Coturnix japonica: one gene and its partners. The protein of the gene in region 1 purifies or fractionates together with the protein of each later gene. This does not show direct contact. Links are inferred from orthologs where the notes say so. Each region holds a gene or a part of one and is shown in the gene's direction. Other genes may lie near its edges. The genes, in order: MYH9, CTNNB1, SPTAN1, UBE3A, ENKUR, GSK3B and ACTB.

Region 1 (4,035 bases):
TCTCCTGCTTATCAGGTGTTCATATTGTTTTTTTCTGAATGAGCAGTCTAAGACTTAGCTGTAAAACATGCAACATTGGTTTGTTGGAATAATTTGGAGGGGGAAAAAAACGTAATCACTCACTGGATGTATTCTGCTGTATCTTCAGTCTGAGGTATTTTGTTGTTATTTCCCTCCCCCTCCAGGTGAGAGCAAATCTTGAAAAAGCAAAACAAGCCCTGGAAAGTGAAAAGGCTGAACTGTCCAATGAAGTGAAGGTACTTCTGCAAGGCAAAGGGGATGCAGAGCACAAGAGGAAAAAAGTAGATGCTCAGCTCCAAGAACTGCAGGTGAAATTTACAGAAGGTGAAAGAGTAAAGACAGAATTGGCTGAGAGAGTGAACAAGTTGCAGGTGAGTGGCATGGGTTTTCCTTAGCTTCTGTTGTAGCCAGAGAATAGAGAGGAAAGAAGGTTATAGGGTGGTACCTTCCTGTGGTTAATTTGAAAATCTCTTGTTCCTCCAGAGGATCTTTATCCTCTGCTTTTTTGTAGGAACTTTTTCCTACAAAAAAGCACAGACATAGTTTGCTTCCCAAGGACTCAGCAAACTCCTTAACTCATTATCAGCTCAGGCCATTAGGACTGGTGTCATTAATGAGCAGCCACCAAAAGGTGCTTCCCTTCAGCGTGCAGCAGTTTGTACTGTACAGTTCCATAACCTTTCAGCTACTTGTGAGCCTAGAGTGGCACAGTCTGGTGATTTGGAAGAATGTATCTTGATAGTTTGTAATGTGGTTGATGGTGAAGAGGGGTGGCTAAAGGGAGATGCTGAAATTCAGGATTTTTTCCAGCTCTCTTCAAGATAAACAATACCTTTGGTTCACACCAAGCATTGCCTATCATTAGGGCTGTCGTTAGGTGTTTAGCATTGCTGGTGTATGCATACTCTTCTGGAGTCTGAAAATGTAATTTGGAGTATCTACATGCAGTCCTGAAGCAAATCACATGTGATAAAGAGATTTAAAGACAAAAGGTTGTTGCAGTTGAGTCTCTTTTGGATTCTTTGTATTTCATCCCTAGGTACCTAGAAATGACACATGTCTTCTCCCAGGAGATGATACGCATGCCTTACTTTTGAGAAGTGCCTTGTTTTTCACATTCAGGTCTTGCAGCTGTTCCTGGCTTTCTTCATCTTGCTGATGCATTTAATAAGTGATACTCTCATCTCTCCTGCAGGTTGAGCTGGACAATGTCACAGGCCTTTTGAACCAGTCTGACAGCAAATCAATCAAATTAGCAAAGGACTTCTCTGCTCTGGAGTCACAGCTTCAGGATACTCAGGTGAGAGCTCTGGAAGCCAAGATATCCATATTATCTGTATAACTTACATCCACTGTCTGTTACAAATGGTCTCAACTAAAGTGAGAAAGCAATCTGGACTGCTGTTAACTGACTATACAACACTTCAAAGGATTGAATCTGGCTGTTTTGCTAAGGGGCTGTGCTGCATGGTGTTGAGAGCATTACTGATGAAACGAGCTCTTTCTCTTCCTTCTGCTTCTTCAGTATATGGAACACACGTAACTTTCCATGTCTTAGAAGTCTTCCTCTATCACTCTTCTGCTTGGGAGTTCTTTGTTGCTAGTACTGAGCTGCAATGCTAGATTCTTGTGTTTGATGGGCTTTTTTTATTTCTCTGTTCATGATTTCCAATAGATCCATAAAGTTATCCCATTGGATAAGTTAGTAAGTTAGAAGCTAGTAAATATTGTTGGTGCCCCAAGTTGGTAAATGATCACTGTCTTAGAATTCTGCTATGAGTAAAGTTGTTCTTAACCATGCAAAATCACTTTAGCCTATTGTCCATTTCTGTGGTAATAAACTTCAAAAATATTCCTGCTGGAGAGAATGACTGAGGATGGTGAGCCTTGTAAACCAAGGAGATGTACTGAGTTCCTCTGGGGTGCTTGTGTTGTAGGAGCTGCTGCAGGAGGAGACTCGCCTAAAGCTGAGCTTCAGCACTAAACTGAAGCAAACAGAGGATGAAAAAAATGCTTTGAAAGAGCAACTGGAAGAAGAAGAGGAGGCGAAGAGAAACCTAGAGAAGCAGATCTCTGTTCTTCAGCAACAGGTACAGTCTACCTTCCATAAATCAAACACTTGGGAGGAGAGGAAGTGCAATTCTAACTTGAAGGAAGTAAAATGTAAATGAGGAATGGGCATCTAATGAGAGAACCTTTGATGGACAAGGGTGATCCTGCTTACTTGATTGAGTCTCAGATAATGATCTTACTGTAGATTTCTACCCAGGAATTCCTTTGGAGTCATTGATACAGTGTTGATGATTGTAGGTGATTCCTTCAGAACTCAACAGACCTATTTCCTCAGCTCATCTAGTGCCAGTAAACCACATACAGTGTTGTGCTACATGTGGTGAGATTCACATGCAGTCTTTTCTGTTCTTCAGGCAGTAGATGCCAGGAAGAAGATGGATGATGGTCTGGGCTGCCTTGAAATAGCAGAAGAAGCCAAGAAGAAGCTGCAAAAGGACTTGGAGAGCTTAACCCAGCGTTATGAGGAGAAGATAGCTGCATATGACAAGCTGGAAAAAACAAAGACCCGCCTGCAGCAAGAGCTGGATGACATTGCTGTGGACCTGGATCATCAGCGCCAGACAGTTTCCAACCTAGAGAAGAAGCAGAAGAAGTTTGATCAGGTATGACTTCAGTGTCAATCTGTTCAGTGTAGGTACATCTGACTAGGCAGGTTTGCCTCTTAAGAATATCTAAACAGTGCTGTTTGGAGAATACACATTTATTTCTAAACTCAGGTACAGCACATAAAGTGGAGAGAAGCTGTCATAGAGGGAAACTTGTTTCTTGCACAAGAAGTTTAGTGATGCGCCTTTTCCCAAAGGGCTAACAGTTATACTGATAACAATATCCAGTTGTAAATGCTGGCTGCAGTTTTTGAGGGGCTGTTTGGAACTGATATGTTGGATGCTTAGGGAATCAGAGGTTTATTCACATGGGGTCAGCACATTATTGGAGATGGGATGGTATGCATTCTCTGAAGACAGGTTTTCTTGATTCTTTCTGTCTGAGGCAGAATGCTACTTAGAAGGCAAAAAACAGAAAAGGTGCATGTTTGCCTTGTTCAGAATGGCTTAGTGATTTCTCAAAATACTAATGCTGTGTTCTTGTAGCTCTTGGCGGAGGAGAAGAACATCTCAGCCAAATATGCAGAAGAGAGAGACCGTGCTGAAGCTGAAGCCCGTGAGAAGGAGACAAAGGCCCTCTCCCTGGCCAGAGCCCTTGAAGAAGCCATAGAACAGAAAGCTGAACTGGAACGAGTCAATAAGCAGTTCCGCACTGAGATGGAAGACCTGATGAGTTCAAAGGATGATGTTGGGAAAAGCGTAAGTATGGAGCTAAGGAGTCTGTGCAGGACATGTCACAAAGACATTACTGTTAGTTTGATGCTGCAGAATACTTATGCTGGTGTGAACATGGTCAATTGTAGTAGAGAGCACTGAATGCTTTGAGGATTTGTGAATATTACATTTGTATTACATTAGTGAGCAGGAAAGTTGAGTAGAAAGAGCTTGGAAATTACCCAGATGACATAGTGTTAGAGACTTGTATTGTGTGAGATGAATTAGAGGCTGTGGCACAGTGAAAGTCAGCCTTTTCTCTTGCATAGCTGGTGATGGGACTAGAGGGAATGGATTCAAATTGCACCAGGGGGTGGGGTCAGCTTGGTTATGAGGAAAAATTTATTCTCAGAAAGATTGGCCAGGGACTGGAATGGATTGCCCAGGGAGGTGGTGGAGTCACTGGCCCTGGAGGAGTTCAAGAAACGTTTAGATGTGATACTGAGGGACCTGGGTTAGTGGGGAGATATTGGTGGTAGGTGGATGGTTGGACTTGATGGCCTTGGAAGTCTTTTCCAACCTTAGTGCTTCTGTGTGGAAAATGCAGGGAATAGTTGACAGTGGAACACGGTAACCCAAATATTTCATAATAAGGAAAAGATTGTGAAAGCAGGAAGGAAAA
Region 2 (2,686 bases), on another chromosome or scaffold:
TATCTTTTTGTGCACATCTAGACAGCGGATCTTGGACTTGACATTGGTGCCCAGGGAGAACCTCTTGGATACCGCCCAGATGGTATGTCTGTTCCATTCCCCTTGACTAAGCTTAATATAAGTCAAGTCATTGACTGTAAAGGAGAACTGCAAATGGCTGAAGAGTAAATTACTCCTCAGCAAGATATTGCAAACTGACAGGCAGATGGGGAACTGCCAGTTCAAATAAGCAGTTTCTGCAACACCTCTGGCTGCACTGAAATGGGAGCCATATGAATGTGCAAAATTGGTGTCGCTTGTCTGAGTCTTGCAAGAGAATCTCCCACTGAGCTGCTGTTTCCAGAAATCTTTTAAATCCTTTACAGATGGACTTGACAATTCCAGAAGTGCAGTTTTTCTTTAAAACAAATGTTGGTATGGTATATATATTAGTCTTTAAGTGCCAGTAGACTTAAGTCTATTGCTATGGGTTCTGAGTCTGCAGCCTTGTAGCCTGGTTTTGCTGTAGTATTGTTGAATTTTAGTACTGTTGATTGTGCAGACTAATGGCTTGGCTGGAATCTGCTCGTGCTTCTGACTGCAGTTGCTTTGTCTGCAGAATCACACTGGAAGGCTGTTTCAAATGATGGAATAGCCATTAAGGGCAGGCAGCAGATCATTTGGAACTTGGCTGAACTAGAAAAACAATTAGATGGCTACAACAATCTTCTCACACACTGATACTTGCAGCTTCTGATGCATCTAACATCTGTTAACATTATGCTCTTTTTCCCTCTGCCACCTTTTAACTTTCTTAGATCCTAGCTACCGTTCTTTCCACTCTGGCGGATACGGTCAGGATGCCTTGGGTATGGACCCTATGATGGAACATGAAATGGGTGGCCACCACCCTGGTGCTGACTACCCAGTTGATGGTCTGCCAGATCTTGGCCATGCCCAGGACCTTATGGATGGGCTGCCTCCAGGTGACAGTAATCAGTTGGCCTGGTTCGATACTGACCTGTAAATCATCCTTTAGGTAAGAAGCTCCAATTGTGAATTTAAAAACAAAACAAAAAGAGAGAAACAAATTACTGGACTCAGGACTTGGTTGGCAGGGAGGGAATGGCTTAAATGGGTCCCAGTGTGACAGAATACTGAGGGGGAGGGGAAAAAATGCTCTGGAGACACGCATCAGTTTGGATTGTAGGAGTGTATGATTTTCTGCCGTGAGGTATGGAAGTAATTAACTGTAACGTCTTGTGCATCACCAGCTTTGTGCAGTCTTTATGTTGAAGTAACTTTTACTGAGGAACACTGACATTATTTTTCTGTTTTCCTTTTTTGCAGCTGTATCATCTGAATGAACTTGCATTGATTGGCCTGTAGAGTTGCTGAGAGGGCTCGAGGGGTGGGCTAGTATCTCAGAAAGTGCCTGACACACTAACCAAGCTGAGTTTCCTATGGGAACAATTGAAGTAAACTTTTTGTTCTGGTCCTTTTTGGTCGAGGAGTAATAATACAAATGGATTTTGGGAGTGATTCAAGAAACGAGGAATGCACAAGAATGAATTGCAAGATGGAATTTATCAAACCCTAGCCTTGCTTGTTAAAAATTTATTATTTTTTTTAAATCTCTGTAATGGTACTGACCTTTGCTTGCTTTGAAAGTAGCCTTTCTTTTCGCAGTAATTGTCGTTAGGTTTTTTTTTTTTAAGTCTCTCGTAGTATTAAGTTATAGTGAATATGCTACAGCAGTTTCTAATTTTTAAGGATTGAGTAAAGGTGTAGAACACTAATTCATAATCGCTCTAACTGTATTCTGAATAAAGTGTAACATTGTGTAGCCTTTTTGTATAAAAAAAACAAACTAGACAAATAGAAATGGTCCAATTAGTTTCCTTTTTAATATGCTTAAAATAAGCAGGTGGATCTATTTCATGTTTTTGATCAAAAAACTTTATCTGGGATATGTCTGGGTAGGGGCCAGTAAGAACTGTTTATTTGGAACCTTGTATTGGACAGTTTACCAGTTGCCTTTTATCCCAAAGTTATTGTAGCCTGCTGTGATACAGATGCTTCATGAGAAAAAATGCAGTTATAAAATGGTTCAAGATTAAAGTAAACTTTTAATTCGCTCTGTGTCAAGTTATTTCAGACTGTGTTGACAGGTCCTCCAAAACCTGTTCTCAAATTGTGCAATGCTTTCACTACTTCAAAGGCAGAAACCAAGAACTGCTCCCCTTCTCCATCCCACCTGGCGGCTGCTCTGTCCTTTGGAGATCACGGTTAGAATCATGGAGGCTTCCTCCCACAGTATTTTTCCCCTTTCAGGTTCCTCAGCAAGGCAGCTATGCTTAGTGTAGCATGCAGGAGAAGGTCCTTCACTTATAAGTGCTCAGCTGCTCCACTAGCTTTAACTCAGCCTGAGATAGGACCTGCATGCAGCTCACCTTCTCTAGAGACAGCACTTGTGCAGATAGAAGTAGGTAATGCTGTTAACAACTGCTGGATAATTTATAGACTGTGCACATCTGCACTCTGCAGCTGTCACCAGCCTCTGCCCAGAGTGCTCATCCTGCCTCTCAGAGCAGATGAGATCACAAGGGGAAAAAGCTATAAAGGATCACAGCTCCTGGTAGCATCCCAAGGAGATGAGAGCTGAAGCAAGCTACAAAAGGGTGCTCTCCTTTGCTTATGGAGTAGA
Region 3 (3,586 bases), on another chromosome or scaffold:
GACTTACCTGCTAGATGGGTCAGTATTGAATTTTATATTGTTCACAATGCGGTGATGTGCTCTGCTCTCTGTGTGATTTCTTCTGTCATTGCGTTGCTTGTGAAAGCCACAGCAGAACCCCTTTTATTTGAAAAGAGCAATCTAGCTGAGGTGCACATGAAACGAGTTTGGGGTGGATTACAAAGAAACCAATGAGAACTATAACTGTTTCCTAGTCAAAAGCAGAGGAAGTTATGAATGGGGAACCACTGGCATCCCATGGCAGTGCTGAGTTCTGCTCACAGAACCATAGAACAGCTCAGGTTGGAGGGGACCTGAAGAACCATCAGCTTCCCCCCCCATTAGCTGGGCTGCCAGCTGCTGGGTCAGCTCCTGGGGCAGGTTGCTCACACAAGGAACAGCTCTTGCTCTGAGATGTGGGAGAGAACAGAACGTCCATCTTCACCTGGTGTTTAAACAGTTCTCCAGTAGTCAGAGGTTTCAGTTCAGCAGAATGGATTTTCTGTTGTAACTGTTCTCTGAATGATTAAATCCCCAGAGTATCAACCATTCTGTGTTCTGGGAGGAGGAAGAGGTGTTCCTAGGAAGAGCCTTGGCTGAAATTAGGTATCTTTAAGACTTCATCATACACAGTATGAACTTATTGACCTGCTGATTGGCCGTGCTGCAGGAGAGGAGCTTACCCTGCTGTGATGTTATTCTTGATGGTAGAAAGCATCCCAGGAGGAGCACAGAGCGCTGCCCAGGTTTGGCAGCTGGGTGCTGCCTGCAGCCTGAGCTCCTGCAGCCCCCCATGATGATGCAGGTCGGGGATTTGACAGGAAGAGGAAAGGAAACAACACGGTCTTTAAATGCCTCCAGGCTGCCAAAACCTCCCAGAGTGTGTCTGCCCATTTACATCCCTTCACTATTGGAACAACTGCAACACAATAGAAGCTTTGTAACGAGGCATGGTGTAAAAGGTTAACAAACACTGCATGGGCCTGGCGCTGAGGCTGTGGGCCCTGTGCAAAGGGCTGGGGGGAGCCAGGGGCCTTTCTTACAAAGATAGATGGCTTTTCATAATAAAAGGGTGGAATTCTGTGCAGATAACTGCTGCTTGTGTGCTCTGTAATGACCACAGTGTCCCCTTCTGCTGTTTCTGCCAGATAAAAAATAGTTTGCCCCATTTTTTTTGCTGAACAGTTTAATGGAACCGAGCAGATTTTCCTGGAACAGCTGCTGAATTCTGTGCTCCTTTGTAAACTGGTGTAGTAGAGAGTTCTTGTATCCAAGAAGGAGCTGACAGAAAGGGGCCATTTACTGAAAGCCACGGGGGCAGAGCTGGAGACCAGCAGCCAAGAGCTTTTGTTCAACAAATTGCCACAAGGCCGCTGGTCTGCGGGGCAGCCGGTCCTTAATGCTGTGTCCCTAATGCTGTGTCCTTAATGCTGTGTGTTAATGCTGTTGTGAATGGGTGACGGACACAGACTGAGCTCAGGGAGCCCTGCGCTGCCCTGCCAATGGGGAAAGCAGAGCTCCAAGGAGGCTCCAGGGCAGCAGAGTGTTGGTGTGGTGCTGGCTGTGTGGGAGAGGGGAGCAAAGGAGAGCGTGGGGTTGGAAAGAACGCCTTTGTAGAAGCTGTAGATGAGCTAACAACAAAATGCATTGTTTTATCCCAGCTTTACACAAAAATAACCCGTTAGTTTCCTGTGTGTGCAACCAGCATCTGGATTGATTCCATAAGTGAAGGCTGCTGTTTGCTGCAAGCTGCTGGTGCTGCAGTGGCCGTGGCTGGCTGTGTGCTGTCCGCTGTTCTTTCTTCTTCTCCTTTGGAATTTACCTGGTTTCTTTCCTTTGATTAGCATAGCCTACCGTCGTGTCATTCGTGTCTATCAGTATGAAGTTGGGGATGATCTATCTGGAAGGTTTTTTTTCCTCTTTATTTTCTTACCTCACTTTTGGTTTTTAAATGCACTCGTTAATTCCAAGGCTCGCTTTCCTTCCGACTAACTCACGGCTTAGAGATGCTTGGAGGTGTGTTCCCTGCCCGGTTCCCCCCATGGTTGGCTCCCATCTCCCTGCCCAGGGCTCTGGGTGTGCACTGAGTGTGGCCTTAACCCTGTGCTGGGGATCAGGGTGTTTGTGTGGCTGCAGAGCGATCCAGCGCCCACAGTCCCCTCCTCTAAAGTGTGTAGGATGGGCTTTAGAGGGGCTGCAAAGCTGCGGTTCCTGGCAGGACCCTCCCTAGCAGTCAGTATGGCACACACTGCTGTGTCCACACACAGGTTGGTCAGTGTGGGCTCTCGCCATCACTGGGAGGATGGAGGTACCTGAGTGCTGCAGCTTTAGGGCTGCTGAGGTTCCTGGGGGGGCAGCGACCAGAGACATCCCTTATCTGGTCCCTACAGAGAGATGCTGCTGCCATCCCTGCAGTGCGACCCTGCTGTGTGAGGATGGGGCTGAATGGAGCAGAGCTGCCTCAGTTCCCCCTGGTTGGGATGGGGCAGGAAGGCACCTCTCCATCATCCTACACAGGGGAGCTCCGGGGTTTTCTGACTGTTCTGTGATTACTTCCCAAGCAAACCAGCAGTTCTCAGTTCTCTTCCCCCTGTTCTATCCCCGGTAACACACCTCTATAGAGTCCCAGTGCAGCCCATCAGTGAATCCCCCATGGTTGGTGTGTGTGTGTGCTGGGGTGGGACTGCACCAATCTGATCTCATGAGGCCCAGCAAAGCGGGTGCTGTGGATCTGGCATGAAGTGTGACTGCTGGGCGTGTTGCCTTTCAAATGGGGCTAGAAATTAACTGTACAGAAACGAGAATTAAACATGATGTGACGTGTCCGCCTGAAATAGCGAGTTGGAATAAATGAAACACGAAGCCAGCATTGAAATACCTGCAGATCAATGCTGCTGTGAGCATTTGGAAGGAAGGACTGTTAATTTCAAGCCCCACCTGCCATTGGTTATGGGAGGAGTCCTGTGCCTCACTGTGATTCTGTACGTAGGTCCTGTATGGTGGAGGAGTCGGGGACACTGGAATCCCAGCTGGAAGCTACTAAAGTAAGTAATGATTGATCCCCTGTCTGTAAACCACCTCCCCCATGCAATTATACGGTAAAATCTGAATTGATTTTTATACATTTTGAACGCTGAAGGAACCTTGGTCTGATGTCCTCTTATAAACAGGACATCAAACAACACTCCAACATAGTTTTCCTCTTTTCCCTCCTAATGGGTGTTCACCTAAAGGCTGGTTGTGGTTGTTTTGGCTTTTTGCACTCCTTGATTTTCTCCTCCTCTCTCGCTCCTCCCAGCGCAAACACCAGGAGATCCGGGCTATGAGGAGCCAGCTGAAGAAGATCGAGGACCTTGGAGCAGCCATGGAAGAGGCACTTATCCTGGACAACAAATACACGGAGCACAGCACCGTGGGGCTGGCGCAGCAGTGGGACCAGCTGGACCAGCTGGGAATGAGGATGCAGCACAATCTGGAGCAGCAGATCCAAGCTCGGTACTGGCTGCCCTGCATGTAGTGTGTGCTGTGCCCGGCCTGGGGGGAGGTGAATGGCAGCACCTGCTGGCTGCCTGAAAGCAAACCTGAA
Region 4 (4,674 bases), about 72 Mb from region 1:
GTGCAGCATTCTAAAAACCTGTTTAGAGCTTAATTTTGGAATTTGTTCATTTACTTTGAGAATAACTTGATAACTCCTGAGTTTGTGTATTTTCACTCTGCCTGTTGTATGTTGTCATTTGTCATGCCCAGGGCTTGGGTATTCACAGAATCACAGAATTGTAGGGGTTGGAAGGGACCTCTAGAGATCATCGAGTCCAACCCCTCTGCCAAAGCAGGCTCTGTTAAGTATTCTGTTAAGGTAGTTTTCTGTGAATTCAGCTTTCGTTCTGGTCTTAAATGTCTGTTTGGTTTTGAAGCCATCAAATATCACTGCCCCCCTTAAAGTGTTGTCGGTTAGATGTGGTACATAGTCACCTCGCACTGGAGTTAGGTTTTGTAGCTGGTTCATTTTCCTGAAAGAATGGCAGAAGGAAAATTCTGCTGCAGCCTCCCAAAATGAGCCAGAAAAATGATTAATAGCCATTGCAAATATGAACTGTGACTGTATTAGTGTTTCATCATACCAGTGCTACCCTAGAGCCTTTTAGACATGGAATGCTTTAAATTATTTTCCTCATAGCTGAGTGCAGAGCTGGATTTGCATAAGCTGAATCTTTCTAATCCATAGATGCTAGACTGTTCTTAAAATGAGAGCTAAAGTCCCATGTTATCCGCAGTCACTATGTGCGTGACCATGGTCACTGTTTTAGGGCAGTGTCAAATAGAATTCTTTCACTGAGTTCATTCTGCCATGGAAACCAAACTTACCAAAACTCCAGAAACCTTTCCAGTTGAAAACAGGATTGTGTGATGTTCCCTTTACTGTACTTGGCCTCTTTCTTTGGAGTTGTACAAGGAGAGTATGTGATGATAAGCAGTTGAGTCCCTTCTCTGTAGGTTAGATAAATGTCTCAATGGTCAGTCTTCTAATATCTATATTTTTGTGTGTGAAGTAGTTCCTTGTTGATCAAATTTGCTACTAGAATGCAAGCAGTGGCTCAGAAGGAGGTGATTAGAATCAGCGTCTCAGAAAATACTCTTCTAGTGAGTTGCAGTTGGTAGGGATGTGAAATACTGTTTAAATGTCACACTTTACACATTTAGGCTTTTAAAGTACAACATGGAGTTTAATCTGGTTAACTACATTTGCTTGGAATGTCAGGAGGTTTTTGACAGAGGGAAAACAACACAAAATACACTAAATAATGCATTTTGCTTAATGTTTGATACAGTTTTGTTTTCTTCTGAATATAAGACAGACTGAAGGGTTCCTGTGAGTATGTTTATTGTTTCACTTCTTTCCATTAAAGACTGAATTGATCTTTTCTTGGCCTCGCAGCCAGTACAGAGTATTATTAGTATTTAGGTCTCCTTACTTAATAACTTAAAGTCTGGAGAGCTACTGTTCAATATATCTAGGAGACCCTTATGTTCTCAGGTTCATCTATCTTGAGGAAGTGCTGTGGCTCTTTCAGCACACAATTCCTGAAGACGCATCAGATTCAGTATGTGTAGTGAAGTGGGTGCCCCACACTAAGGTCACAGGCACCCAGCTATTGGGGTTCACTGCCTGAGAGGCACATCATGCTGAAAGGATCAGGGTTGGAAACATGAGCTCCGTGTGTGTTTGCAGGCACACGTTAGCTGTGATGGCTTTGGCTGGAGTGGACAGAAGGTATTATAACATCACTAGAACCAAGGGGTGGTGCTCAGTTCTGGCTCCGGGTGGAACTTTGGGCATTTTGATGTACAGACATGCCCTGTGGGCAGTGCTTTCACTGGAAACCTCTCTTCAAGCATTGCCATTATTACACCTAATTATCCAAAAGAAGGAAAACAACAGGCGAAATTTAAAAGATACTTTCAGAAACCAGCATTCAGATTCACAAAGATGGCTGTCCATAACTACACTTCGGTATGTGAGATGTTTTTGACTGCTTTGGATCTGAAGGTGATCTTATATTTCAAAAGCGTAGTATAATTACTTGGCCTATTAAGTCTCAATTTTCCTCTGTTGAAAACTGTTTGCTTTATTTAGCATTTCTCTGTATTTAGCTTAAGATATCTGAGAAATGCAAAGTAGATGTGTTGTGTTGAAACTTTTGAAGCAGCACATTCAGTTCCTTGTTTTATATGTATTTAGATATCCAGCAGAAGGAACTAGAAAGTGACCTTTATAAGGAGTCTCTGAGGGAACTGTGGCTGTTTAGCTTGAAGAAGAGGCTGAGGGGAGACTCTTTACAGCTGCCTGAGCAGGCTGCAGCAAGGAGGAGGGTGTCAATCTCTTTTTGCAGGGACAAGTGCTAGGATGCAAGGAAACTTATTTGGGTTGTATCCAGTTTATACTGGATATTGGGAAGAAATACTTGGTCAAACATTGGAACAGGCTGCCCAGAGAGATGGTGGAGGCCTCCTTCCTTAGAGGTATTCATGAGACCTGTTGATGTGGCTTATGGACTTATATTGAAGGCCTTTCCCGGTCTAAATTATCCTGTGCTTCAAAATGTTATTTTACCGACATCTCCAGGGAGGTAGAGGTTCAGCAGTACGAGTTTCTTGTGCTACCCTGCAGATTTGGCAGTGTTTCAATTACAAATGATAAGTACTTATCTGGCTTTTTATTAGATAAAAAACAGTTAGAAAAGCCTATAGAGATTCTTTTATTTTTTTTAAGTACGGCATAAGTAAGTCAGTGAATATTAATTTTTAAAATGGAAAATGTGCTTGTGGAATTATTGGGCTTTGGGGAAGTGGAAGTTATGTATATTACAGTAGGCTCTTGCCCTCACCAAAGTATAGTGTCTTGCTTAAGAAGGTTGTACAAGGCCTACTGTGTGGGAAGCTATCCTCAAAGCAGCCTGTAAAATGTGTACAACTGTGCATGTGCAAGTGAGTTTTGAAATCAGATAGGCAACAACGGTATGAGTCTTTACAAACATGCGTGTAACTGAACTGCTTACATAAAAAACAATAATTGATATGAGAAAATATGTAGTGGTTCTGCAGTAGCTTTTTTTTAGTTTTCATTAATGCCATTTCTGTGCTTTTTATCCTCCATCATGATGGATATAGAGTTTCTTCTACGTCAGCTGTTAGAGACAACTCTAATCTTAGTGCTGTGCCTTAGTATTTCAGATATTACCTGATTAAAACATAGTGTTTGATGTAATAAAATACTGTTAATATAATCAGCGTTTATATACTGAAATAGTTAAAGTGTTACATGAGCTATAAAGGTGTGCATGCTTCTTTAGCAGCTTACCCAGCTTGAAAATGTAAGACTTATCTTGCTGGGAATTGGTCATCTTTTGACAGTGTATTTAGCATGAGTAACAATTCTGGCTGCTCTGGGTGAAAACGTATGCCCACATTTAGAGAAGCCTAATGAGAAATAATCCTTATAACGTTCATACGTTTTTACTCAGGTCAGAAAAAACATTGCTGCAAAGAGCTTGTGACCTATGTGTCGACTGCAGTGGAGAAATAAAATGAAAGAAAAATGTGATGTAGAAACTGGAAAGGCTGTAACTCTTATCTTCAGATCAGTATATAGCTATTCTGTTCCCTTGTACAGTAATGGAATTGATGGTGTTGATGGTGCTGCTCTGCTTTTTTATCATCTTCCAACTCTGCCATTGGGCGCCAGGGAGACATTTTATTCTGTACTTGGTCAGGTAGGCATTTGAAGTAATGATTTTCTTCCCTTTTGCTCTTAGAGATCTCATGATTATAAGGAAGGAATAGAGGTGTTACTTTTAAATAACATACACCTACCTCAGTAGTTACTTTAAGAACTTGAGGACACTTCCCCTTCCGAAGCCACTGCATTGAAACTAGTACTTGATCAGCCCATATTAATGGCTAGGCACAGCAAGTGCTGAGTAGTACAAGCAGGTCTGAGGCTTCAGTTCTAATGTACTTGTTCTATGGAGAATCTGCATACATCAATTTCTGGAAAAAGCAACTTTCATTGTGACAGTTTCTGGTTGATGTCTTGCTTCTTATGTTCTAACCTTTAGACATGTAGTGTATCATTAAATTTGAATTCAAGACCTATATATTAGACACCTCCAAAATGTTAAAGATTTTGTTTCTATTTGATACCTTGCCTTCATATCTAACTTTCTTAAAAGAACAGGATTTTTTGTTTGTTTGTTTTGAAAATACAGTGAAATATGGTGTTCTTGGTGCTGCATGTAGCTCTTACTGTCCTAATCAGCAGTAGCTTTCAGGTGTTTTATTTACCAATTGCATGTTTCTCTAAACATGTAGCTTTAGTAACTGACCATTTAGGATGTTTTTTTGTATGTATAGTACTAGGCACATCAAGTAATATAGAGTTACAGTTGTAATTCTTCAAAATACGTTCTTGCCACGTGTTACTGTGGGAGAAAGAGGAGAAATTGGCAAATAACTGTTGGAGAGACATACTTCACTAAGCTGAGGTTATTCAGCATTGAGCTCATCTTTAATCATGGTTTTGTCAGCAGTTCAATTAACCAAGTAATGCTCTTCCTACTCTTTGAAATAACAAACTAATATCAGATAGTTGTGATCACGTGGAATCTTGTGTATTAAAAGAGAAAACATGTTTTAGAGGATTGATATCCTATTGATATAGTATTTACTGATAATATTACTAAATAAATGCCTGGATCATTTGTCACGTAGCTTCCCTCTCAATGGTAACTGT
Region 5 (4,617 bases), on another chromosome or scaffold:
TTTAAAAGGAAAAAAAATATATCTGTGAAGAGTATTTGTAATATTCAGTGCCATTATAAAGCTGTTCTGTAATGGTAATGCACTGAAGTGAATATACACATGCAAAGCTAACAGGGCCAGAAAGTGATACTTAAGCAAACATGAGTATGTTCAAGATATTAAAAAAATAAGTAAAAATTAAAGTAATTGAGACAATATTTTAGTGATTTTATTGAGCATAACTTCAAACCTTGTTTAGGAACAAAGGGCATATAAATCATGCCAAGCAAAGTGTCCTGTCTACACCTCTAGTTGTACCACAGAAGCGTTTTAAGGCGTAGTCACTTAGTACACTATACAGCTGCAGGATGGAACATCTGGACTGCTTTATGAATCTAGGACACGGGAACACAAAAGCCCCAAAAATTAGTGCTGTAGGCAAGGAAGGAACTAGATACAGACTTCTCTGATTACATACTTGCCATATTTGCATAACGTTACAAGTAGTCTGTGAGATTGCTTGAAATCAAGTCAGTAAATCCGATGCAAGAATGCGCATGTTATTTTATTCAGCTGCTCAGTTGCAACTTCACCCAACCTTGCACCAATATGATGTATATATGGTAAAAAGAAGCTTGCAATTACTGAACTGCTCTTTTAAAATCATTTTTATTCCAGTGTCAAAAGTTTACTGTGAAAACAGTGTGAATTAGATTTCATGTCTAGCAGAGTTTACCAGTCTAGTGAGAGCACCAAACCAACCACCTTTAGCTACAGCTACCTGTGCCAAAAGGCTTTGGGGGTGAGAGGGTGTTGTACTGAAGCAGAGCTTATGCCTTTACCTCCAATGAAATCAAGTTCTGACAATAGAAGTCAACCCTCCACTTGGAGGGCCAAAGGCCTCTATGTATCACTTGCAGATGTACACAATCTTAGCAACCATTAATGATGATGGGAGTTATAGAGAAAACTGGCTGCAGATACCAGCGTAGACACAAAGCGTGGTTAAAATCCAGAGACCAAACAAGCCAGCGGTGGTTTGTAGCTGTTGGAGAACTCAAGGTAAGTCAAGACAAATAATCATCAGACTTCAGAGCTTCCAATACACAAGAAAAACCTCCCCTTTGCCTTTCCTCAGAACTTTTGTGAAGGGAATAAAATAAATCTTAAAGTAAGCCAACTTCAACCTTCCCATGATCACCCCACAGCCCAGAATGTGAGATGGTACTTGACAAAGCAGGCACCCATGTGAAATCTGTCTGCACCTCGTTTCCACACAAGCATTAAAGGAAGGTGAGGAAGCCTCCCAGTCACCAAGTGAAAGAGCCCGGTCACAGCAGCAGATGAGCAACCACAGCAATCACAACTGGTGCAGGGGAACGGATCACTTACAAGCTCTACGAGCAGCTGCAGCACTGCCAGAACCGTACAGTGAAGGAAGCTGGGATGTACAGGGGACAGATCTGAGCTGCCACGGGACCTCCCATGTGCTAATCCAGAACATCAGCGGGCACTCAAAGCTCTTTAGGAGCCTCGCTCATCTGCAGGGAAGAGGTCGAGCTCATTTCCGTAAGATCTGTAAAACAGAACAAACACAACAAAGGAAACCCCGACCCAACGTCGGCTCGGATCTCAGCACAGCCGTCACCGCGTACCACGTAGGGGCGGAACAGACGCGACGTGGCCCAGCCCCTCGTGGCGCTGTTGCCCAGTAACGCGTTTTCATGGTGACGGCGGCCACAACAACAGCGGGCGGCAGCTTGAGACGGGAACGGGAGGAGGATGGCGGCACAGGAGAGCGTGTATAACCTCTTGCCACGGCTGGAGGAGAAGCCCGTCAAACCCCCGAGGTACGTGGGGATGTAAAGCACCACTTGTTGGTGCTGTGGTTCCGGTAGGGCCCTAAAGCCTGAGGGTGTGGGCTGTCAGCGTGAGGCAGCGCTGAAGTGTAGCAGGGAGGTGATGGGATGATGGCTTTGGGAAGACATAAAATGAAATAGTGCAGTCTTTTGTTGTGCCTTTTTCTGACCTTTAACTTCACCACGCCTATTTTTTTAACATCAAAGGTACATATCAACGTTTCGGCCGTCCGTGAAGCTCGAAATAGGGCAAAGTAAAGCGCAATGGAAAACTATGGGGCCAGCAAAAGTTGCAGTGCCATCTCCAAAGGATTTCCTGAAGAAACACTCCAAGGGACCCACGTTACCAGCAAGTAAGTGTGTGTCACTGGTCACATGAACTGCAGGGCGTTCATTCTCAGCTGCAGCCATTTAAGGATGGAAGATGTGTTGACAGCGTGATGTGCCCTCCTGATAGCTCAATTTGCAGTTCCATAATTTAGAAATAGAACTACCCTGTCTTCAGGCACAAGTCATAATTCTGGGCGTTAGAAGTTCTGGGTGTAAGAAACTGAACACATGTTCAGCTTCACAGGCTGCCCAGGGAGGTGATGGAGTCTCCTTCTCTGGAGATATTCAAGACCCGCCTGGACGCCGACCTGTGTGACGTGGTGTAGGGAGCCTGCTTTGGCAGGGGGTTGGACTCGATGATCTCTAGAGTCCCTTCCAACCCCTACAATTCTGTGATTCTGTGATTCATGGCCCATTCTGCAATGCTGCAGTGACTTCAGTACTGCTGGAATTGTAAGTACGTTGCTGTCAGAATTTGTAATTGAATTATAAAGTTTTAGCTTGAAATGGTTTTTAGCCTGGAAAAGAAGAAGAAAAAAAGCAAAAAACAAGCAAACAAACAAAAAGCAGAAGAGCTTAAAGTACCATACTAAAAAAAATGCCATCTAAGAGGATGTGTGGATCAGCACCAAAACATGTAAGGTACATGCAAATGACTTTAGCTTTGAAAATATAGGCTATGACAGGAGCCTTTGGAGGTTCAGTTCCTTATCAGAACACTGAGGTAGGTTTTGGTCTCTGAAGTCCTGTCGGTTTCCCAGGTGGGTTTTACAAAAGATCATCTCATTTTCAGGAAAGCTGAACAACATTCAGTATGCTGGAATGTAATGCTTCATGGCATTTGATCATTAGTGCTTTCAAGCTCAAGAACTTGTTAAATTGCTGCACTCATGTTTTAGATGAACATAAGAAAGAATGCTGGTTCACCAATAACTTGGAACAGTCTGTAATGTTCCTTTTAAGTACTTTTTATTAAAAGTACTTTTAAGTATTGCAAAATTTCTGTTAACTACTACAAACTGGCTCTGTTTGGGCACTCAGCACTCTGCTCTGTTTTTCTCATAGGAGCAACTTAGAATATTTTTATTTCAAATTGCTAATTCAGAACTTCATTAAAAACACCTACTGGTGTGTTTGCATTTAGAGCTGACATACTGTAGCCTTAGAATGAGTCTGACACATCATAGCTACCATTCAGAGCAGTGATCTCATTGCTGTTAGATGCTAACAGGTCTTGAGAACAAACTACATCATCAACTCAGAAAATTCTTATGCTTTTGTTGGAGTTTCATACCTACCTCAGAAAACTTACATTGCTTAACGGCCTTTTTTTAATGTATGGCACTTTCATCACCTGGAACTTAAACATTTATCATCTGTCTGTGTGGCATCATGGCTTTTATTTTTAATGATTCCTATGTCATCTCAAAAATTGGGTTTGATCTCTCCAGTTAAAATGCAGATTGCAAAAAGCAGAAAGATCGAATTATTTTTTCTCCTGAACTCTAGGATAATGTCACTCTTAGAGAGTTTGATTACTCAGTAAGTAATTCCTTTAAAACAGTATGTTTCCTAATTGGCATCTTGTATTACTGGTTTCTGGCATTCATGTTAACCAAACTATGTTATTGGCCATAGAAGAAGTGGAGGCTCCTAAAACATTGTGTGTGCACCAGTGTTATGCAGGTAAGGATGAGCAGGTGCTCACTGAGAAGCCTCAGAGGTCCTTTTTCCAAAGTGATGTCCTTAGAGAAACAGATTTAAGCCTGTGTTCTACAGTACTAAATTATGGCAAGCTTTCAAAACAAACTCAGAAAAGCACTGGTTCATGGGGTCAGCATCAGGAAGCCAGCTGTTGTAGGAATGTACTCTTACATATTAATGACTCTAAGTTGGAGTTCTGTCTGTTGGGAAAAATGGTGGGGAATAAGCTGTCTTTCATCACTCAACTGAACTCACAGTACTCCGGAGACTACCAACTTTGTGTTGGTGTGTTGGAAGGATTACACCAAAAAGGAAGCGTTCCTGCATTCTCTGGAGAAAGGATGGTAAGAAGCAATATTACAGAAGAGCAGGAGCCAGGCAGCTCCTTAAGGAAGGCCAGAAATTAAGAGTGACCTAAAAATGACCTCACCAACAGAAAGTTGGTAGCAGGCCCAGCTCAGCAGAAGCTTGAAAGCAGAGCAGGACAGTGATGAAAATGAGCCTTGCCAGTAGCCTTGTGATCATCAGGCAAGGCAGGGCAGCAGGCCAGGTCTGTCCACTGATTCCACACAGCACTTCTGGAGGAGTCTGAGGGCAGGCACACCTGAGAGCTGGATGAGACAGGGACTGACAGCCCAGGGCTGGGCTGAAGTGTGGTGCACTAAATGATGCTGGTCAGGACTAGCAGGGCCTACTGTGTGTGCTCAGAGACCTGACAGTGAGCACCTCTGGTAAAAGTGGTTTC
Region 6 (4,723 bases), about 24 Mb from region 1:
AAAAGCCCCAATTTTAAGCTCAGCTCTACAGCGATGTTAGTGGGGTCACAGCACTCCAGCTCCTGCCCTGTGGAAGTCCACAGGTCCTGAGGTAGGACAGGCTCCTCCAGAGGTCGTGCTGGCCAGCTCCAACCAAAACCCTCGTGTGGTGGCACCAAGGCACGGCTATGAGGCCATTTTAGTGGCTCTGATATACACTGTGTTTCACCCCCGCCATTCCCAGCCCCTCTGAAGAGCCTGTAACCCCCACACAAGGGCGGCGGCGATAACGCCCCGCGCATGCGCACTCTGTCCGCATCCCCGCCCTGCGCAGCGGGTGAGGTCATGAAGGTGAAAGGGGCGGCGCCCGCCGCTGCCATGCTCCAATGGGAGCGGGCCGTGCTGCCGGCCCTGCATGGCGATTGGCCGAGAGCTCGCAGCTGGCTGCCGTCTTCGTGCCGCCTCATCGCCGTGAACCAATCGGCGGAGCGTAATCGAGACAGCGCGCCCTGCGATTGGCTGTCTGGCTTCGGCTCCCTTCGGGTTGGCTCGGTAATAGCCGGAAGAGAGGCTTTCTTCCTATTGGCCGCCCGACTGCGCTGCTAGGGCGGTGGCGGCGCCTTCCGATTGGGCCTCCGCCTGGCTTCGGGGGGATTCGGGTGCGTCCGTAAGGGCTTCGCGATTGGTTCCGATCCGTCACAGGCATTTCCGTAACCGCCTCGGGATTGGTCCCGACGACGCTCGGGTATTTCCGTCAGGGCCTCGGGCTGGGGGCTAACGAGTGCGTCGGGCGCTTCGGGTGGCTATTCACAGAAGGCGCCTAGGGCCGTTCCGCAGCGTAGGGCGGCGACGGGCATAGGCGGCTGCGCGGCTTTGGCGCACACACAGAGCGCAGCAGCGGGAGCCCGGCACGCAGCGGAGGCAGCAGCGGGGACAAAGGGAGCGACCAACAGAAACGGGGAGGGGGGCCCGGCGAGAGGCAGCCGGCGCCAGAAGGGAGCGGCGGGAAGCTTCAGCCGGGCGGACGGCTCCTCATGCGCCTCGGACGCCCGGGGAAGCAACAGCGAGAGCCGCCGGCGCTCTGAAGCCGGCTGAGGACGAGCTGGGAGCCAACGCCGCCGCCATGGCCCGCACCGCCGCCGCCGGCCACCGCCCGCACTGCAGCCTGCCCAGCGTGAGCCGCCGCCAGCTGCCCCTGCGGGAGCAATGAGGAGCCGCGCCGGAGCCGCCTCAGCGCCGCACTGAGAGCACACACACACACACACTGCGAGCCAGCCGGGCACACCGCGCCGCTTCACACCGCTCCGCCCGCCGCGGATCCCGCCGCCGCCGCCGGATCCCGTTGCGCGGGGCCGCATCGCCTCCCGTCGGCGGATCCAGCAGCTCCGAGATCCCTCCGCCGGGGGAAAAGTAGTCCCGCCGCCTCCCTCCCTCAGTGGCGAAGGGGGAAGGAGAGGAGAGGGCAGGAGGCAGAGAGAGGAAGGAGGCGAGGAGAAAAAGAAAAGAGAGAGAGAAAAAAAAAGAAAAAAGGCAAAAGACATAAAGGGGAAAAGGAGAAGAGAGAAGCCGAGCGGCAGGATCGGAGGAGCCGGGCCGCGAGCCTCCGCCCCATGTGACTGGGCTGAGGGTGGGGGCAGCGAGGCCTAGCACCGAGCACAGCCCCGCTGCTCGCGGCCGGCCCGGGGGGCTGCGGCTGGGAGGAGGCGGCTCTCGGACCCACCGGCACTGCGGGAGGATGGCGCTGTGAGCGCCGGGAGGAGCGAGGCCGGAGAAGAAAGGAGACGCGAGGAAAGGCCGGCGGGGAGAGCGAGAGGGGAGGGGGCTTCCCCGGGGGGGAAGGGGCCGGCGGTTCATGTGGCACAGCTCGCCCTTCGCCTCCCGCTGAGCCCGCAGCACACAGCCCCGCGAGCAGCCCCGAGGAGAGCGGAGGAGGCGGACAGCCCGACGGGACGCAGCCGGAGCCGGAGACCATGTCCGGGCGGCCCAGGACCACCTCCTTCGCGGAGAGCTGCAAGCCGGTGCAGCAGCCCTCGGCCTTCGGCAGCATGAAAGTCAGCCGTGAGTATCGGGCCGTTCCCTGCCGCCCTCCTGCCCTGCCTCGCGTTCGTCTCGGGTGGGCCGCGAGCTCGGCCGGGCCTGCGGGGGACACAAAAAGGCCGCTCCCGGCCCTGCCCTCGGCCCCTGCCGGCCGTGCCGTTTCGCCTCCGCGGGGGGCTCCTCGGGGTTACCAGCACCCCTGTTCTGCCTCCTGCCTCGGGGAGGAGGGGATGAATGACGGGCACGCGGGTACGGCCGTGACATTGGTCCCAATGAGGTGTTTTGTGCCCTCTGAAGGAGGGAGATGGAAGAGGTGGGGGGGGAGCTCTGTATCAGGTGTGGGAAGCCCACGGCCCGGCCTATTAAAGGCGGAAGAAAACGGGGGGCTATTACAAAGGCCGTCCGAGGGGGTTACAAAGGGTGTATCATACGCTGCTAATGATCCCCAACGGGAGGGAGGAAGAAAATCCTCATTGTGGCTTGCGAGTGGTTGTTTCGAGCTGCCTTGCCCAGGTTTTCTCAACGGGGATATTTTGAAGAACGAGGCCTGTGCTTTATTCCACACGGGCATGCTGGAAATGATCGGTGCTTGATGGGTGCCCACCCTTTGCATTGCAGCTGGTGGGCTCGGCCACACTATATGAATGGAGAATGGGCATTGCTTCTCGGTACGACCAGAGAAAGGCCCAGCTGCGGGTCACCTACAATGAACTATATCTCTTGAATGGCAAATAATTCCTGAAGGTTTCTTTGAATACGTGCCTATTAACAGTCAGATCATTGCCGATTCATGCTACGGGCTTTGTTTTCAGTAATATTCCCCCCTTTTTTTTTTCCCCTATGGAAATGGAGGGCTGGGTCTTTATGGGACCTGGAGCGCTTGATGGGCGTTAAGGTTTGATTGATCCGTTTGATATCCCGTGTGGTCACACCTGGCACTGCTGTGTGCGGGTTTGGTTCTTGGTGTTGGAGGCTTTTCAAGCCGGGGCTCTGCCCGGCTGGGGGTTTTTTGACAGATGAGAGAAATTCTGACGTTTTTCTGCATCAAAATGTACTTCCGCTGCGGTTGAAGCCTTGAGGAGAATATTGGGCTGAGGTTCTGGAGCTGCTGCTTTGTATCTGCATGATCAGGGTGCCTGCTGCACTCCGAGTGCCCTTTATACTCTTATATGCTGCTAAAACGGGTTGTGTTTGATCTGGTTCAAATGTATTAAAGATCTTAATTCACACGGGGGGGGAGGGGGGAAGGGGGAATATTTAAGACTCCATTTTAATGTATCGATTTATTTCACGTGAGCGTGGAATAGGAAGCAGGTTTTGTCGCTGGGTATTTCTGCAGGTGGCTGTTTAACGCTATAGCCACACTTAGCCCTGCCACGCTCCAAAGCTAAATTTGCCTTATTCGAGCTGTACGGCTCGATTCTTGAAAGGTCATTGATGCTCCTTTCCTGTTTGTTTGAGGTCAGAAACCAGACAGATGCTCGCCTTCGAAGCGGGTGCTAAGTGATGCAGACTAACAAGTTTGCAAATACGATTTGATCCCAAGTGTGGAACACGGAGGGAGAAACAAAGGCCGTAGCATAAAGCACACGCACTTGTGATAACCCCCCCCCCCAGCCCCTCCTCCCCAGTCGCTCTAGTCATGTGCTCCTGGTCCTTCTGCTGTCTGGAAAAAAATGTCAGAACAAAGCAAGAGAACCGCATGCAAGGACTGTGTGGGAAAGGCAGGCGTATTTTTCACTTAATCTATCCGTGTAAGACAGTGCAGGAAGTTTCGACTTCTTATTTTCCTTTGTAAGAGAGCAGCGCCACTGATTGCCAGAAAGGGTGATATTTTACTGGTTCTCTTGAGATTGTGAAGCAGATGGAAATGGATGGATTGCTGCTCTTTGAGTCCTGTAGGCAGCTGTTGTATCCCCATCTTGATTCAGACCTTCTCCAGGTCACCAGGAAGCAAAGCCTATCCTCTATGCCAGCCTTTTTGCTCGCCTTTGTAAGGCTGGGGTGGTGGTGAAATGAGGTGGTGAGGTCACGCTTGCTTTGGTGACCACCTTCTAGCTGATCCCGGCAGTAGTTCCATTCCTTTGAAAGGATTCAAAGGACGAGGTGGAAGCATTGAGGAAGGAATGGAGGAGGGTGTGTTGGACCTTGTGTTAGAGAGCTGGAGTGTGGTGATTGCTCTTCTGCTCAGGATATGGCAGGCTTAGGCCCTGGAACAGGCTGCCCAGTGAGGTTGTGGATGCCCCGTCCTTGGAGGTGTTCAAGGCCAGGTTGGACGGGGCCCTGGGCAACCTGATCTAGTAAAGGTGTATGTTTGGTGGCCCTGCCAGGCAGGGGGGTTGGAACTACATGATCCTTGAGGTCCCTTCCAACCCGGCTCATTCTGTGATTCTGTGAAAGGGGGGAGTGGCCATTGACTTTTCCATCTTTTTAGACTTTGTGCTCGGAAGTTGTTGAGAAGCTTGAGCCTTGAATGGAAGGGGATTCCCATCAGGGTCTTGTCCTCTGGCTTCGGAGGAAGGTGACTTCCCAGGCCTCTGTCATAGTTGTTAGTTATGAGAATTTTACAGTTGCTACAAGAGTAGGAACCCTGTGGCCTTCCTGTATCACTTCCATGATGTACCAACATCAAGAGTTCCTATGAGATCTGCCAATTTTTTTGTTATTTTGGTGTTTTTGAGATCATTTTGTGTTTCTTTCCACCGCA
Region 7 (4,525 bases), on another chromosome or scaffold:
CGGCACCTCGGAGCCCATGTTGTCCTGGCACCGGGTGCCCATGTGCTGCAATGTCACCATCTCAGAGGGGACAAAGTCACCCCCGTGGTGTCCCTGCAGCTCAGCTCCGTCCCCATGGCCACCTCCAGTTCAGAGGGGACACAGCGCAGCCCCAGCACAACCCAGCCTTGCAGCATCCCAGTGACAAAGCCCTCACTGCAAGACCCCACACAGGGCTGGATCCCGCTCCCATAACACCCACAGTGCTTCTTGCACGGCGCCTTAATCAATGCAATTAATCAACAACGCTCTGGAGCTGCAAAGCTCCAGCTCCATGCAGCGCTGCTCACCAACACCACGCACCGCCCTGTCCAACCCCGCAGCACACGCTGCAAACAGGAAAGAAACAAAATATTGCCCAAATGTAGGCAAAGGCCCCTCGGCTGCCCTGACCTCCGCCGGGCCGGGCCCTGCCTGACTCAGCTCCTTACTCAGCTCTCGTTTCCTCCCTCCGGCTGCTGCTGCCGCTGCAGCTCACACCCTAACGAAGCACGGCCCTTGATGGGCTCTGCGATGCACCCAGCAGTCCAAGGGCTGGCCGGGAGGTTTGCACCGCTACTTGCTGACATGAGCGCTGAACTTGGCCCTGGGTAGCGCTGCAGGCCGGGAGGGGTGGGTGCAAACAATGCACCTGGTGCCCCATCCCCTCCCTTGCAGCACCAGGCCGATGGTGTGATTGCAGCTCGGTGCATGCACGCGCCGTGATACGTTCCTTGCTGCTGTAGCAGCCTAGTGCACGCACAGCCCTCGCTGTTATTGCAGCTCTGCGCACACACTCATTGTATCACTCCATCCCACAGCATGATGCACTCGCACTGGAGCTATCGCTGCTGGGTGCACACACTCATTGTATCGCTGCAGCTCAGTGCATGCACGCAGGCTGCTGTTATTGCTGCTGGGTGCACGCACATCAGTGTGGCTGCAGCTCAGTGCATGCACAGCCGGTGCGCATCGCTCCCACTGCTCCCATCGCTCCCATAGCTCCTATTGCTCCCATTGCTCCTACTGCTCCCATTGCTCCCATAGCACCCATAGATCCCATATAGCACCCATAGATCCCATACAGCTCCCATAGATCCCATATAGCACCCATAGATCCCATAGCTCCCATAGCTCCCGTAGCTCCCATCGCTATGGCCGCCTGTCCCCGGGAGGTGACTTCAAGGGGACCGCAGGACCACCGGGATGGGGGCAGGGCTGCATCCCCTCCCCAACAAAGCACTATGGAATCAAAGCATTATGGAATCAAAGCACTATGGAATCAAAAGGGGGTGGGGGTGGAAGGGAGCGTCACACCCCGCCGCTCAGCCTCACCTGGAGCTGAGCCCCACGCTCCCCTCTCCCCTTTCATCCCCCCAATTTCCTATTTATTTATTTCTTAATTATTTTGTGCAGCGATGGGGGCGGGCGGGGCGAGGCGGGAGAGGTGCGGCCACAGCCAATCAGAAGGGCGCGCTCCGAAAGTTTCCTTTTATGGCGAGGCGGCGGCGGCGGCGGCCCTATAAAAGGCGGAGCGGGCGGCGGGCGGGAGTCGCTTTGCGCTGCCTTCGCCCCGCGCCCCGCTCCGCATCCAGCCGCCTCGTGCCGCCCGACCCGGCTCCGACTGACCGCGGTACAAACACAGGTGAGCGGCCGGACCGCAACGCTGCGACAGCAGAGCTCCATTGTGCCATACGGGGGAGCACCGAGGGGCTGCGGGGGGGCGCTGTGTATTGGGGAGGGGGCGTGAGTCGGGGTGTGTGTGTGTGTTAACGGAGCCGGTGCTGCCCGGTGCCGCGGGGCGGTTCGGCGCTTTGTGCTGCGATGAGCGGGGCGGGGGGCGAGGGAACAAAGGCGGAGTGAGGGGTGGGGGGGGGTCGGGTTGTGACCCCCATGTGCAGCTTTAACCCCCCCCATGTGCAGCTGTACCCCCATGTGCAGCCCCCCCCCCCCAATCCTTGTTACAGATCGCGGGCTGTGCTGGCTGCGGGGCTGTGCTGGGTGCGGGGCCGTTGGGGGCTCGGGGCGGTGCCGGTGGTTGGGGGCGGCTGGTGGGCGGGGCTGGCTGCCCCTATAGCGCCGGCGGCTGTCGAGGCGCGGCTCGGAGCTGCCATTGCCTTTTATGGTCATGGTTGGAGGGCGCAGGGACTTCCTTTGTCCCAAATCTGTGCCGAGCCCAAATCCGGGAGGTGCCGCCTGACCCCCTCTAGCGGGCGAGGGGCGAAGCGGAGCCGGCAGGAAGGAAATGGGTGGGAGGAGGAGGGCCGTGCTGCCGCGCTGCCGCCCCGCGATCCATCCCCAGCGTTGGGGGGATCTATAGGGGGCGAGGCGGGGCGGGGTCCGGCTTCTAGTGCGTGACCGGCAGCGCTTCTATCTCACTGCCTCCTCTCTTCCTTCGCAGCCAGCCATGGATGATGATATTGCTGCGCTCGTTGTTGACAATGGCTCCGGTATGTGCAAGGCCGGTTTTGCCGGGGACGATGCCCCCCGTGCCGTGTTCCCATCCATCGTGGGTCGCCCCAGACATCAGGTACGGCAATGGCTGGAGTGATGCATCCAGACAATGGAGAGGAGTGTTCGGTGGGAGTGGTTGTGCTGAGGGCGTGGAGCCTCCAGAAGCCCTTTTACTTTCATGTGTGACATAAGAGGTTTCTACTCTGCAACAGTAACTGGTTGAATACACAGCATCCTGCCGAGCAACCCGTGTTGAGCCAATGGCTCCAGTCCTTAACCTGGCAGAGTAGGGGCAGTAGGGGGTTAGTGATTAAAGGTGTGGCTTCTGCGGGGGGGGGAAATAAAACCTTTATTCATCCATTGGATTTTGTCCTAGAGTTAAACTTAAAGCTTTTTCTTTGTTGTGCAGGGTGTGATGGTTGGTATGGGTCAGAAAGACAGCTATGTAGGTGATGAAGCGCAGAGCAAGAGAGGTATCCTGACCTTGAAATACCCCATTGAACATGGCATAATTACCAACTGGGATGATATGGAGAAGATCTGGCACCACACTTTCTACAATGAGCTCCGTGTTGCCCCTGAGGAGCACCCTGTGCTGCTCACAGAGGCTCCCCTGAACCCCAAAGCCAACAGAGAGAAGATGACACAGGTGTGTAAAACCCTTTGAGCCTGGAGCTACAGCAGGCGCTGCTGCAGGCCAGCTCTCCTCTTCCATGTTGTCCTCTATCCGCCTTCACCACTTCTCCCTTTTTGCCATCTTTACAGGGTTTTCCTTTCCTGACCTGAGTCTCCTCTTTGCTGGACCTTGACAGGTTTTGTTTGCTCTAAGCTGGCTTTCTCTGAGACTGAACTAGCAACTTGTCTAACTGCTGTTTCTGACTAGACACTAATCCATTTACCAGCCTTGAATGACTATACTGTAGTTCCTTGGCCTTTGTTTCGTTCCTTGCTGTGTCATGTGGATGGGCCTGTGGTAGCAGTGTCCTTGCTCAGGCTCTAACCTGGCAGGTGTGGGTGGAGACCAAGCGAGATAAGCACTGATATCTCCTTCTAGAGGAGCAAAGAAGCCTCTTTATCTAGGGACAAATGTAAAACCACATGCATGGACTGATGTAGGCATGCAGTGAGAACCTTGGTTTATTCTGCTTGACTCAGTGCTTTCTTATCTCTCTAGATTATGTTTGAGACCTTCAATGTCCCAGCCATGTATGTAGCAATTCAGGCTGTGCTGTCCCTGTATGCCTCTGGTCGCACCACTGGTATTGTGATGGACTCTGGTGATGGTGTTACCCACACTGTGCCCATCTATGAAGGCTATGCCCTCCCCCATGCCATCCTGCGTCTGGATCTGGCTGGCCGTGACCTGACGGACTACCTCATGAAGATCCTGACAGAGAGAGGCTACAGCTTCACCACCACAGCCGAGAGAGAAATTGTGCGTGACATCAAGGAGAAGCTGTGCTACGTCGCACTGGATTTCGAGCAGGAGATGGCCACAGCTGCCTCTAGCTCTTCCCTGGAGAAGAGCTATGAACTCCCTGATGGTCAACTCATCACCATTGGCAATGAGAGGTTCAGGTGCCCTGAGGCCCTCTTCCAGCCATCTTTCTTGGGTAAGTCTGACTCCTTTTAGGAGATTCCGTGCCCCTTCTGCCTAGAGTGACTTAGAGACTAGTCAGCTGCCATTGTACTGCTGGCCCTTAGCAGGTCTGTCCCATTCCACTTCAGTCTTTGTCTTCCTCAGCCTGAGGATGATAGAGGTACCTAGGTCAGAACCAGGAGGCTGAGCCTGTAAGCCATGGCTTTGCTTGTGTTGCTTCCCACTATGGGGTCTTTGTTTCTCTTCCCATAGCAGTAGGTCCTTTGGCTTCCTTGACCCTGAACTGCTGACTGACCTGACACTGCTTTTTGCTTGCAGGTATGGAGTCCTGTGGTATCCATGAAACTACCTACAACAGAATCATGAAGTGTGATATTGATATCCGTAAGGACCTGTATGCCAACACAGTGCTGTCTGGTGGTACCACAATGTACCCTGGCATTGCTGACAGGA

Evidence for each region.
Region 2: the proteins of MYH9 (region 1) and CTNNB1 purify together in Homo sapiens (affinity purification with mass spectrometry; 3 studies listed by BioGRID, with this or other methods). This does not show direct contact. The link is inferred for Coturnix japonica from reciprocal best matches to the Homo sapiens genes MYH9 and CTNNB1.
Region 3: the proteins of MYH9 (region 1) and SPTAN1 fractionate together in Homo sapiens (co-fractionation; 3 studies listed by BioGRID and IntAct, with this or other methods). This does not show direct contact. The link is inferred for Coturnix japonica from reciprocal best matches to the Homo sapiens genes MYH9 and SPTAN1.
Region 4: the proteins of MYH9 (region 1) and UBE3A purify together in Homo sapiens (affinity purification with western blotting; 3 studies listed by BioGRID, with this or other methods). This does not show direct contact. The link is inferred for Coturnix japonica from reciprocal best matches to the Homo sapiens genes MYH9 and UBE3A.
Region 5: the proteins of MYH9 (region 1) and ENKUR purify together in Homo sapiens (affinity purification with western blotting; 4 studies listed by BioGRID, with this or other methods). This does not show direct contact. The link is inferred for Coturnix japonica from reciprocal best matches to the Homo sapiens genes MYH9 and ENKUR.
Region 6: the proteins of MYH9 (region 1) and GSK3B purify together in Homo sapiens (affinity purification with western blotting; 4 studies listed by BioGRID, with this or other methods). This does not show direct contact. The link is inferred for Coturnix japonica from reciprocal best matches to the Homo sapiens genes MYH9 and GSK3B.
Region 7: the proteins of MYH9 (region 1) and ACTB purify together in Homo sapiens (affinity purification with western blotting; 4 studies listed by BioGRID and IntAct, with this or other methods). This does not show direct contact. The link is inferred for Coturnix japonica from reciprocal best matches to the Homo sapiens genes MYH9 and ACTB.

What each region holds. Positions count from the first base shown.
Region 1 is NC_029516.1:47,319,674-47,323,708, forward strand, and holds part of MYH9 (myosin-9), read left to right. Parts: intron 1-185; coding exon 186-392; intron 393-1,216; coding exon 1,217-1,321; intron 1,322-1,958; coding exon 1,959-2,111; intron 2,112-2,447; coding exon 2,448-2,696; intron 2,697-3,185; coding exon 3,186-3,398; intron 3,399-4,035. UniProt on the Homo sapiens protein: Cellular myosin that appears to play a role in cytokinesis, cell shape, and specialized functions such as secretion and capping. Required for cortical actin clearance prior to oocyte exocytosis. Promotes cell motility in conjunction with S100A4.
Region 2 is NC_029517.1:39,929,210-39,931,895, forward strand, and holds the end of CTNNB1 (catenin beta-1), read left to right. Parts: intron 1-21; coding exon 22-82; intron 83-797; coding exon 798-1,006; 3' UTR 1,007-1,018; intron 1,019-1,329; coding exon of another isoform or gene 1,330-1,346; 3' UTR 1,347-2,117; downstream 2,118-2,686. UniProt on the Homo sapiens protein: Key downstream component of the canonical Wnt signaling pathway.
Region 3 is NC_029532.1:3,903,052-3,906,637, forward strand, and holds part of SPTAN1 (spectrin alpha chain, non-erythrocytic 1), read left to right. Parts: coding exon 1-18; intron 19-1,844; coding exon 1,845-1,907; intron 1,908-2,989; coding exon 2,990-3,044; intron 3,045-3,298; coding exon 3,299-3,495; intron 3,496-3,586. UniProt on the Homo sapiens protein: Fodrin, which seems to be involved in secretion, interacts with calmodulin in a calcium-dependent manner and is thus candidate for the calcium-dependent movement of the cytoskeleton at the membrane.
Region 4 is NC_029516.1:118,886,904-118,891,577, forward strand, and holds the start of UBE3A (ubiquitin-protein ligase E3A), read left to right. Parts: upstream 1-1,690; 5' UTR 1,691-1,726; coding exon 1,727-1,896; intron 1,897-4,674. UniProt on the Homo sapiens protein: E3 ubiquitin-protein ligase which accepts ubiquitin from an E2 ubiquitin-conjugating enzyme in the form of a thioester and transfers it to its substrates.
Region 5 is NC_029517.1:15,140,083-15,144,699, forward strand, and holds the start of ENKUR (enkurin), read left to right. Parts: upstream 1-1,672; 5' UTR 1,673-1,761; coding exon 1,762-1,829; intron 1,830-2,045; coding exon 2,046-2,191; intron 2,192-4,617. UniProt on the Homo sapiens protein: Adapter that functions to localize a calcium-sensitive signal transduction machinery in sperm to a calcium-permeable ion channel.
Region 6 is NC_029516.1:71,650,397-71,655,119, forward strand, and holds the start of GSK3B (glycogen synthase kinase-3 beta), read left to right. Parts: upstream 1-1,724; 5' UTR 1,725-1,949; coding exon 1,950-2,037; intron 2,038-4,723. UniProt on the Homo sapiens protein: Constitutively active protein kinase that acts as a negative regulator in the hormonal control of glucose homeostasis, Wnt signaling and regulation of transcription factors and microtubules, by phosphorylating and inactivating glycogen synthase (GYS1 or GYS2), EIF2B, CTNNB1/beta-catenin, APC, AXIN1, DPYSL2/CRMP2, JUN, NFATC1/NFATC, MAPT/TAU and MACF1.
Region 7 is NC_029529.1:4,231,834-4,236,358, reverse strand, and holds the start of ACTB (actin, cytoplasmic 1), read left to right. Parts: upstream 1-1,530; 5' UTR 1,531-1,663; intron 1,664-2,419; 5' UTR 2,420-2,425; coding exon 2,426-2,548; intron 2,549-2,881; coding exon 2,882-3,121; intron 3,122-3,646; coding exon 3,647-4,085; intron 4,086-4,390; coding exon 4,391-4,525. UniProt on the Homo sapiens protein: Actin is a highly conserved protein that polymerizes to produce filaments that form cross-linked networks in the cytoplasm of cells.